3 linked regions of the Struthio camelus genome follow. The main gene of each other region encodes a partner of the protein of the gene in region 2 in a complex. Links are inferred from orthologs where the notes say so. Each region holds a gene or a part of one and is shown on either strand. Other genes may lie near its edges.

Region 1 (3,742 bases), on a different chromosome or scaffold from region 2:
CTTAACATGCGCCCCAGTCCCAAAGGGCCCAGGTGTCCGGGCTACCCGAGAAGGGCCCAGGTATCCGGTCCCCGACTTAACATGTGCCCCAACCCTGAAGGGCCCAGGCGTCCGGGCTGCCCAAGAAAGGGCCCAGGCATCCGGGCTACCCGAGAAGGGGCCCAGGCATCCAGGCTACCCAAGAGAGGCCCAGGCGTCCGGTCCCTAACTTAACGCGCGCCCCAAACCCTGAAGGGCCCAGGCATCCGGGTTACCCGAGAAGGGACCCAGGCGCCCGGGCTACCCGAGAAGGGGCCCAGGCGTCCGGGCAACCCGCGCGACGTCACTCTCGAGCACCAACTCGGCCTCGGAGCGGCCGCCGCGTCCCGTTCTCCGTCCCTCTCCCCCGAAGGGCCCAGGCATCCGAGCTCGCAAAGGGGCCCAGGCGTCCGGCTCGCAAAGGGGCCCAGGCGTCCGGCTCACCTGTGCACGTTGCGCTCGGGCGCCAGCTCGGCCTCGTAGTAGCCGTCGCGGCAGTCCTTGCCCACCAGCTCGTGGGGGTGCGGCCGGTGCGGCGCCTCCTTCGTCACCAGCGACACCCGCACTCGCCCCGGGCCCCGGTAGTTGTTGATCTGCGCCAAGGGCCCAGGCGTCCGGGGAGGGGCCCAGGCGTCCGGGAACCCCCCTCTGCCCCCGTGTTCCCAACCCGGGCGTTAGAACCGCTAAGAGGGACCCAGGCGTCCGGGCAGAGCCCAACCTCCGCGCTCAGCTACGGTGGGTGGGAAGGGGGGCCCAGGAGTCCGGGGAGGGGCCCAGGTGTCCGGAAAGGGGCCCAGGCGTCCGGGTGGCACTCAGGTGTACAGGGGGGCTCAGCTGTCCGGCGGGGCCCAGGTGTCCGGGGAGGGACCCAAGTGTCCAGGGGAGTCTAAGCCCCCAGCCCCAACCGCTGGGGGGCTACTGGGAGACCCTGGAGGAGCTACTGGGAGCATACTGGTGCGCACTGGTCTGTACTGGGGGCTCACCCGGATGGTGGGGTGGGTCTTGGTGGTGTCGCTGCTGTGCTCGCCGGGGCTGGGGGCCCAGGGGGGGCGCGGGGAGGGCGCTGGAGGGTTACTGGTGCGCACTGGTCTATACTGGTGCGCACTGGTCTATACTGGGGGCTCACCCGGATGGTGGGGTGGGTCTTGGTGGTGTCGCTGCTGTGCTCGCCGGGGATGCTGCCGGCCGAGCGGCCCTCGCACTTGTAGCGGAAGCGCATCCCCCGCTGCTTGGGCTGCTCGATGATCTCCACGAAGGGGGCGCCCCCCCCCGGCTCTGCAACGGGGCCCAGGCGTCCGGGAGAGCCCCCCCCCCCGCCCCCCCGGCTCTGCAACGGGGCCCAGGCGTCCGGGAGAGCCCCCCCACCCCCACCCCCCCCGCCCCCCCCCGGCTCTGCAACGGGGCCCAGGCGTCCGGGAGAGCCCCCCCCACCCCCACCCCCCCCGCCCCCCCGGCTCTGCAACGGGGCCCAGGCGTCCGGGAGAGCCCCCCCACCCCCACCCCCCCCGCCCCCCCCCGGCTCTGCAACGGGGCCCAGGCGTCCGGGAGAGCCCCCCCACCCCCACCCCCCCCGCCCCCCCCCGGCTCTGCAACGGGGCCCAGGCGTCCGGGAGAGCCCCCCCCACCCCCACCCCCCCGGCTCTGCAACGGGGCCCAGGCGTCCGGGAGAGCCCCCCCGCCCCCACCCCCCCCGGCTCTGCAACGGGGCCCAGGCGTCCGGGAGAGCCCCCCCCCACCCCCCCCGGCTCTGCAACGGGGCCCAGGCGTCCGGGAGAGCCCCCCCCCCACCAAGCGATCCAGGTGGCCGTGTGACCCCCCCCCCAAAAAAAGGGACCCAGGTGTTTGAGTGACCCCCCCCAAAGGGGCCCAGGCGCCCGGGTGACCCCCCCCCAAAAGGGGCCCCGGTGTCCAGGTGACCCCCCCCCAAAAGGGGCCCAGGCGTGCAGATGACCCCCCCCCAAAAGGGGCCCAGGCATCCGGGTGACCCCTCCCCCAAAGGGGCCCAGGTGTCCGAGTGACCCCAACACCCCCCCCAAAAGGGGCACCGGTGTCCAGGTGACCCCCCCAAAGGGGCCCAGGCGTCCGGGTGACCCCCCCCCCCAAAAGGGGCCCAGGTGTCCGGGTGACCCTCCCCAAAAGGGGCCCAGGTGTCCGGGTGACCCCCCCCCCCAAAGGGGCCCAGGCGTCCGGGTGACCCCCCCCCAAGGGGGCCCAGGCATCCGGGTAACCCCCCCCCAAAAGGGGCCCAGGTGTCCGAGTGACCCCCCCCCCCGACCCCGGACGCCTGGGCCCCCACTCACCCTGCAGGCCCCAGTCCTGCTGCAGGAGGAAGGGCAGCAGATCGGCTGCGGGGGGGAGGGGGGGGAGGGAGAGACGAGCGGGGGTGTCAGCGGGGGAGGGGAGCCCGGCCCGGACGCCGGGGCCCCCTCCCGCCCCCCCCCCAACCAGCTGCCGCGCCATGGGGGGGAAGGGAGGGAAGGAAAGCGGAGACGAAACCGGCTGCGCCTCTCTTCGAGGCTCTACGGCCGCGCCGCGCCGCTATTAGGCGCAGTGCGGGAAGGCCGCCGCCGCCGCCGCTACCGTAACGCACCGAAGGGGCGCGCACGCCGCGGCGTCACGTGACGGGGGGACCCCCCCCCCACCCCCACCGCGCGCGTTAACCCTGAAACCTACTGACGCCGCCGCCAGCGGGGGGAGAGTAGGGGGGATCCCCTGACGTCACCGCGGCTTGACGTCACCGGCGAGGCGGGGGGGGGGAACCACCGATTTCGGGGAGCCTCGACCCGCCCCCCCCCCCCCGGCGGAAGGGGGTGGGGGAGGGGCACTCACCGTTCTCCATCTTGGCCGGGCGGAGGGGTGGGGGGAGGGGTAGGGGGGTGGGGGGGGTCCCCGGTGCCGGTGGGGGCGGGGCGAGAGGGGGGTGGGCGGGGCCGCCGCGCCCGGGCGCGACCGTCCGGTCCCGCCGCCGCCGCCGCCGCCGCTTCGGGCCCCGCCGCTACCGCGTCGCCATTCGCGGAAGTGGCCCCGCCGCCCCACGTGACCCCCCGCTGCCGGGAAGGCCCCGCCCCCGGCCCCGCCCCCGGCCCGCTCCGCGTTCTGGCCCCGCCCCGTCCGGCCCCGCCCCTTCCGCCCCCTCCGCGCTCCGGCCCCGCCCCCATGCAAATGAGGGGGCGGGGCCGAGCGGCAGGGGCCGGCGGGCAGTTGCGGCCGGCGGAGGGAGGCGAAAAGAGGCGCAAAACCAGGCGGGGGGGGGGAACCCATAATGGGGGGGGGGGAACCCAAAAGGAGGGGGAACGGATGTGGGGGAACCGAAAACGGGGGGACCTATGGGGGGGACCCATAACGGGGGGGGGGACCCATAACGGGGGGGGACACATAACGGGGGACACATAACGGGGGGACCCATAACGGGGGGACCCATAACGGGGGGGGACCCATAACGGGGGGACCCATAATGGGGGGACACATAACGGGGGGACACATAACGGGGGGACACATAACGGGGGGGACCCATAACGGGGGGACCCATAATGGGGGGACCCATAACGGGGGGACACATAATGGGGGGGGACCCATAACGGGGGGACCCATAACGGCGTGGGACACATAACGGGGGGGGACCCATAACGGGGGGACCCATAATGGGGGGACCCATAACGGGGGGGGACCCATAACGGGGGGACCCATAACGGGGGGACACATAACGGGGGGACCCATAACGGGG
Region 2 (2,771 bases):
GGAGGGGGGGGGAAATAAAGGCGGGGGGGGGGAAGGAGGCGCTGGGAAACGCTGCCTGGGCCGTGCGGGAAGGCTGCAGTGGGGTTGGGGCATGAATCACTGCAGCCCACTCTGGGGTCACCACCACTGGTGTCCCCCCCCCCCCGTCACCGCCGTCCCACTCCGGGATGCCCCTTTACTTCCCCGGGTGCCGGCTGCGTGGGAACCTGCCCCGCTCCAACTTGTCCTTCCTCCTCCTCCTCCTCCTCCTCCTCGCCCCGGGGCCCGGCGGGGGGCAGCGACGACGCAGAGCACAGAGGCAGGCGTGCAGGTGAAGTTTTATTGGGGATGCACCGAGGCTTCGGCCCCCCCCCTCGCCCCCCCCCCCCCCCCACGGCCCGTCACCTCCTCCCGCTGCGAAGGGGAAGCCGCAGAGCAAGGCACGCCAGCAAGCGAAGGACAGGGCCGCCCCGCGCCCCCCCGCTCCCCGGAGCCGCCGGGAGCCCGTGGGCATCCCGCCCCGCTCTGCCGCTTGTTCCCCCCTCCGCCCCGGGACGCGGTGCCGGGGGGATGCGGGAGGCGGTTTTGGGGGGGGGGGGGCTGCCGGGGAGGAGGGACGGGGAGCCGAGATGCCTTACCCCCCCCCAAAAAAAAAAAAAAAAAAAAAAAGAGGCAGAAGACGGAAGAACAGAGAACAAGGTGGGGAGGGAGGAGGTGGGAGCCGGCGGCGGCTCCCCGGGGCGGTCGCTCAGTTCTTGGGCTCTTCGCCGGCCTCGCCGCCGTCTTCGCCGGCGCACTCGGCTGTCCATAACGTGAGGTTGTCCCTGAGCAGCTGCATGATGAGGGTGCTGTCCTTGTAGGAGTCTTCGCTGAGCGTGTGCAGGTCCCCCATGGCCTCGTCGAAGGTGGTCTTGGCCAGCGAGATGGCCTGCTCGGGGGCGTTGGCGATCTCGTAGTGGAAGACGGAGAAGTTGAGGGCCAGCCCCAGGCGGATGGGGTTCGTGGGCTGCATCTCCTTTTTGCTGATGTCCATGGCCTCTTGGTAGGCTTTCTGGGCACTGTCTATCGTCTCCTTGCGGTCATCCCCGGTGGCCACCTCGGCCAGGTAGCGGAAGTAGTCTCCCTTCATCTTCAGGTAGAAGACCTTGCTCTCCGCGTCGCTGGCCTTCTTGATGAGATACTTGTCCAGCAGGCCCAGGACGACGTTGCAGACGCTCTTCAGCTCCTTTTCCACCTTCTCACGGTACTCGTTCACCAGCTGCGCTTTGTCGTCGCCCTCCTCGGTTTTGTGCTCGATGCTGGAGATGACCCTCCAGGCGGAGCGCTGGCACCCCACCACGTTCTTGTAGGCCACGGAGAGCAGGTTGCGCTCCTCGTTGGACAGCTCGTCCCCGTGCTCCACCACGGCCTTCATGAAGTCCGCCATGTCCTCGTAGCGCTCGGCCTGCTCGGCCAGCTTGGCTTTCTGCACTTGGTGGTTTCTTGCCATGGCTGGCGGCGGGGAAGGGGGGACGCGGGTGGACGGGCGAGCGGCGGCGCGGGGGGAGACGGAGCGGCGAGGAGCGGGCCGGTCGCCTTGGGGAGCCGTCGGAGCCTCTGCCGAGCGCCGCCGCCGGGATTCGCTTTTGGCCGGGCGTCGGAGCCTGGAGCAAGAGCGGGAGGAGCCAGGAGGCCGCGCGCAGCCTCCTTCCCCGCGTCCCCGTCCCCGTCCCCGCCGCGCCGCCCCTTGCGAGGCAAAATTGCCGTGATTCATCGCCCCGCCGGGCAAAAAAGGGGGCGCCGGGGAAGGGGGGGGGGCGAGCGGGGCGGCCCCGCGCCCGGCCCTCGCCCCGGGGCGGCCCGGCCCTGGGCCCACCGCTGGCGGCGGACCAAATTAAAAAAAAATTTTAAATTAAATTTGAAAAAGCCCCAGAACGGTGCACCCGGGCGCTGCCGGGCGGCAGCAGGAGCTGCAGGGCGCGCTCGGCTCCCGCCGCCCGGCCGGCGCGGGAAACGGGCCGGGGGGGCAGAGAGGGTGGAAAAGGGGTTGGGGGGGGCTTCCTCCCCCGCCGCCCACCCCAAAAGCCTATCAACGAATCAGTGCCGGTTTTCGCCGGTGGCTGGGAATCGCCGCGGCTCGCCGGGCAGGTGGGAAACGGAGCCGGGGCTGAGCCGCTTGCCTGAGCCCCGGCCGGCGCTCCCGGCTCCCATCTCACCCCCCCCCCCCCGCCGCCGCCCCCAAATTAAGGTGAAATCAGCTCGTTTCGTTGAACTACCAGGCTGCCGGCTGCCAGCAGCCAGACGGACCCAACCGAAAAAACACCCCATAACTCGAAACAGGACGGTCGAGGAAGAGCGACGGGAGGCTGCACTTTTGGGGACGACTCTGGGCGTTTTGGGGCTTCGGCGGGCCCCCAGAGCGAGGTGCCCGGCGCCCCCGGCTCGGCCTCTCGCCCGCTCCCGGCCGGCCAGCGGGGGCCCCTCCACCCCCCTCGCTGCGATTCCCCCCGCGGCGCCGCCGGCCGAACGGCTCGCCGCGGACTTTGCCGATCTCTTCCAAACGCGATGGAAATGATTCTTTTTTTTTTAACTTTAGGAAAAAAAAAAAAAAAAAACCCGCCGGCTCGCTCCAGGTGTTGGCTGCCCTTGGAAACGCGCCGGCCAGATTAGGATCTGCGCTTCATGTTACGCTGCAGTTTCGCTCTGGAGCTGATTAAGCCTGTTCCCACACGCAGGGCGCTGACTGCGCCGGGAGGCAGCGCGGCCAAGCCGGCTGCACCCCCCGGGCTGCCCGCCGCGCGTGCGGCAGCCGT
Region 3 (3,742 bases), on a different chromosome or scaffold from region 2:
GACATATCGAGGAATAGAGAATTGGTGATCAGAGCAGGAGTAGAGTTCTGACATCGTAATGAATGACAGGAAATCTAATTCATTTGCCTCGCTATTCCAAAGTTGTATTCTGCACTATAATCTATAGCCTATTAATATATACTATAGATATAGATATAGATAGATAGATAGATGCATGCAGTAACATAAACAGAAGAAGAGATTAGCCCTTAAAAATCTTATCTTTGTAAGGACAAATAGACTTCAGATTGTTAAGATGGTCTTCCCTAGGAAAATATTTACTGCCCCAAGTAATAAAGTCAAATACAAATGTAAGAAAATACAAAGGATGGTGGACAGGACATTGTGCTGAAAATTGACAGTATCTTGAGGTGAAAATGTGCAAATTTGCTGAACAAGTTCTAAACAGTGAAAAGATCATGTCTTTCCGTATTAGTGAGAGAGCTAGTCTTTCTTGTCCTGTTCAATACAATCCATTGTCAAATATCCACTGAACAAGAGAAAGATTTTCAGGTCTCCCCAGATGTTAGAGGGGGACATCTAGAAGTGCTGTGAGAAGGACATATCAACAGCCTCACCAAATACACCCTAATTAATACAAAACAAGGGAAAACACACCTGTTCATCAAGCCGAAGCAAGAGTTGTAGCACAGTTCTGTTGGCACATTACAGCCTCTAAGTTATCATGGTATTTATTTTTACGGCAGGGAAGCAAACTTTATGAGAAACGCTCTGTTTTAGCTGAGCAAAGCAGAGAAGTACAAAAGGACAGTCTGTGGCTCTGTCCACTAACTGTCCCTCTACAGTCTTGGGAAGTGGCACACTTAGGCTCAGCAACAAAGATGTGACAGCGATATCATTTTGCCAGTTTGACTGTGTGCCTGCAAAGCGGAGACACACTCTATGACCTGTTGGCACATCAGACTATCTAACTGCACAGAAAACTTCAGGAACGCATTGGGAATGCACAGGAGAGACCCAGCTATGGGACCACAGCTGTAGGGAACCCCTGCCACAGCCCTTGTCAATGTTAAAACAAAGTTTACAAAAGTGGGACTACACAGCTACATCAAGAGGTTTTGCAGCTGATTCATTTCCGATGCTCTCCGCATTTTTGTCCGCATCCAGCAGCTTTTTGCCTAAGTTTCCCTCGTGACTTTTAAGCGAAGGTGCATGCACAGTCGAAGGAGGTGCACAGCAACAGGGCCTTGTTTCCTTGCTGAGGAGGTTGTCATCATGCCTCTTCCCCCCTCCTCCTTGCCACCCCGGCCACAGCTTGCTGGTAGCCACCTGGCCAGTGACAATCCCTCCACCTGGCCAGTGTCATTCCTCCGCAGTCCCACCCAGGGGACACAGACTCCATCTCCAGGGGAGGAGGTGTGGGACACCTCCAAGTCCAACAAGTGCCCATGGAGAGCAGTGAATTGCATAACACAGTTCCCGTGGGGGGGGGGGGGGGGAATCAAGAGACTCATCTTGCACTTAACCTTTTGCACAGCCCCCTGCCCCTCTCCCTTGCTCCCAACCACAGGGGGCTCATGCCTCAGCCCCAGCAGGCCTCCCCGAGGTGAGACACTCACCAATGGTCGTGATGACCGTGATGGCAAAGTAGAAGGAGCCGGCGAATTTCCACTGGACACCAGCCCGGTGCGGCTCGGACTGCATGATCACCAACTCCAGCTGCCGGTAGTCCTCGGTGGTGATGTTGTACTTTCCTTTGAGCCGGATCTCCTCGGCTTTGAGTTTCTCCTCCTCCCGCATCTCGTTGTCGGACTCCAGGGCATCAAAGACGGCAGCCCCGACCAGCAGGTAGGTGAACGTGCAGATGATGAGGGACAGGGTCCGCACGTTCTGCCTCTTCATGGCCGCCAGCAAGGGGCGAGTGAGGGGACCATGTCCCCCCCTGGCCGCCCGGGGATCCGACAGGCCGCAGCAGCCGCAGCAGGGGGGCAGCTGCCGGGGGGGCCGGCGGCGCCCACCGCCGCTGCTCCGGGGCAGCTTGTGCTGCGGCGGCGGCTGCTCCCCGCCTGCCTGCTCGGGCTCCTGGGAGGAGGAGAGGCACAGGAGGCTGCTGGAGCGCCGGGACCAGGTACCCTGGAGCCGGGAAACTCTACGCAGGACTTGCCCAAACCAAGCCGTCCCGGTGCGCAGGGCCATCCAGGGCACGGCCGCTGCTCCCCAGCACCGCGGCCAGGGGCAGGGGGTGCCCGCCGCGCTCTCGCCGCGGGAAGGGGGCGCTGGGTGGCTCCCGGCCGAGGGGCAGGGGGGCCCCGGGCCGGAGTCCTGCGGCAGGCGGGTTCTGCCCCCCCACCTCCTCCTCCCAACACCCACCCACCCACCTCCCCCCCCCCCCCGCGCGAAGTCTGCGCGGCGGCGCGGGCGAGGGCTGCCGGAGGTCACAGGCAGGGCGCGGAGGGCAGCCGCAGACCGTCGCCGTCCCAAGTTTCTTCAGGCGGTGCCGCGGCAGCGGCGGGGAGCGGGCGGCGGCTGCGCGCCCATCGGCGGGCGGCGAGGCGAGGCGCAGCGGGTCCCCAGGGCCGCGGGGGGCCGGCCCCGGCTCCGGCTGCCTCGGCGAGCGCCGAGCCGGTCGGGTCGGGTCGGGTCGGGTCGGGCTAAGCGCTTGCCGGTGGGCGCCTCACTCCTTCCGCGGCGGTGCGCAGGGCAGGCGGGCTGCTGCAGGTGGCCGCGGCGCGGGTAGCGGAGCGGTGTCCGGCGCGGCGAGGACGGCGACGGTGTCAGGCGGCGGGCGGGGAGTTGGGGGCAACATCCCCGGGCGCGGCGGGGCCGGCGGGGCCCTGGCGGCGGCAGCAGCGGCAGCGGCGGGGAGCCGGCGCCCCGCAGGAGCCGCGGCGAGCGGGAGGAGCGGAGCGGAGCGGCTCGGAGCCGCCCCGGCTGGCGGGCGAGGAGGGAGGGCGGAGAGGAGGCGTCTGCCGGGCGGTCCGGGAGCGGCGGGGCACCTGCGCGGGGCAGGGCGGCGCCGCCGCCGCCGGGAGGAGCGGAGAAAGCGAGCGCTTTGCCGGGGGAAGAGAGCCGGGCCGGGAGAGAAGGGAGGGGGCTCGGCCCCGCACGGACACAAACCCCAAGAGGAAAGGTTGGGCGAGGTGGGGGGGAGGGAAAAAAAAAATAAGAAAGAAAGAAAAAAAAAAAAACCGCTACTTTCACGGCTGCTCCCCAGGCGCGCGGGGCTGGGCGCTGCTTTATTTTCGGAGGGTTTTAGAACAAAGCCGTTAAGAAAAAGAGCAACCGTCCTCCTCCTCCTCCTCCTCCTTCCCCCAAGCTCTTGACATCATCTCGGGGAAAAGCGAGCCCGCGCCCCTCAGCCATCGCCCGCACGCGTGTGCGTGTGTCTGCGCTCCGGCGGGGCGGGGGGGGGGGGCGGCTGGCCCCGGCCCGCCGCGGGCAGAGCCTTCACCCCGCCGGCGCCGCCCTGTCAGCGAAAGGCCGCGGGGCTCCCCCGGCGCGGCGCCTTCCCGGCCCCCCGAGCCTGGCCACGCCCCGGCGGGTGAAGCGGGGCCGGGCTGTGGCGGTGGTGGCGGTGGTGGTGGTGGTGGCGGCGGCGGGGCCGAGCTCGCTGCGGTGGCCCGGGGCTCGGCGCGGAGCGTTGTGGCGGTGGGAGGGCAGCGCGGGACGGGCCGGTGGCCGCGCCCGCTGCGGCCTGGCTGCCGCCGGCTGTGGCGGAGCGTTAACGGCCGGGACAGGTGGCGCGCGCGCGAGCCCCTCCCACCCCCCTCCCGCGCGCCGG

Evidence for each region.
Region 1: the proteins of SFN (region 2) and RELA are in contact, whole or in part, in a crystal structure (PDB 7O6I), measured with the Homo sapiens proteins. The link is inferred for Struthio camelus from reciprocal best matches to the Homo sapiens genes SFN and RELA. Residues at the interface, in NP_006133.1 of Homo sapiens: Glu14, Tyr19, Leu43, Ser45, Val46, Lys49, Asn50, Gly53, Gly54, Arg56, Lys122, Arg129, Tyr130, Gly171, Leu174, Asn175, Val178, Glu182, Ile219, Leu222, Asn226, Leu229, Trp230; in NP_068810.3 of Homo sapiens: Ala43, Gly44, Ser45, Ile46, Pro47, Gly48, Arg50, Ser51.
Region 3: the proteins of SFN (region 2) and KCNK9 are in contact, whole or in part, in a crystal structure (PDB 3P1P), measured with the Homo sapiens proteins. The link is inferred for Struthio camelus from reciprocal best matches to the Homo sapiens genes SFN and KCNK9. Residues at the interface, in NP_006133.1 of Homo sapiens: Lys49, Arg56, Arg60, Lys122, Asp126, Arg129, Tyr130, Glu133, Gly171, Leu174, Asn175, Val178, Glu182, Leu222, Asp225, Asn226, Leu229, Trp230; in NP_001269463.1 of Homo sapiens: Lys369, Arg370, Arg371, Lys372, Ser373, Val374.

The regions. Positions count from the first base shown.
Region 1 is NC_090976.1:906,981-910,722, forward strand, and holds the start of RELA (transcription factor p65), read right to left. Parts: upstream 2,939-3,742; 5' UTR 2,858-2,938; coding exon 2,848-2,857; intron 2,364-2,847; coding exon 2,319-2,363; intron 1,294-2,318; coding exon 1,145-1,293; intron 612-1,144; coding exon 463-611; intron 1-462. UniProt on the Homo sapiens protein: NF-kappa-B is a pleiotropic transcription factor present in almost all cell types and is the endpoint of a series of signal transduction events that are initiated by a vast array of stimuli related to many biological processes such as inflammation, immunity, differentiation, cell growth, tumorigenesis and apoptosis.
Region 2 is NC_090964.1:6,831,543-6,834,313, forward strand, and holds SFN (14-3-3 protein sigma), read right to left. Parts: upstream 1,647-2,771; 5' UTR 1,469-1,646; coding exon 728-1,468; 3' UTR 639-727; downstream 1-638. UniProt on the Homo sapiens protein: Adapter protein implicated in the regulation of a large spectrum of both general and specialized signaling pathways. Binds to a large number of partners, usually by recognition of a phosphoserine or phosphothreonine motif.
Region 3 is NC_090943.1:167,692,477-167,696,218, forward strand, and holds the start of KCNK9 (potassium channel subfamily K member 9), read right to left. Parts: upstream 2,245-3,742; 5' UTR 2,158-2,244; coding exon 1,581-2,157; intron 1-1,580. UniProt on the Homo sapiens protein: K(+) channel that conducts voltage-dependent outward rectifying currents upon membrane depolarization. Voltage sensing is coupled to K(+) electrochemical gradient in an 'ion flux gating' mode where outward but not inward ion flow opens the gate.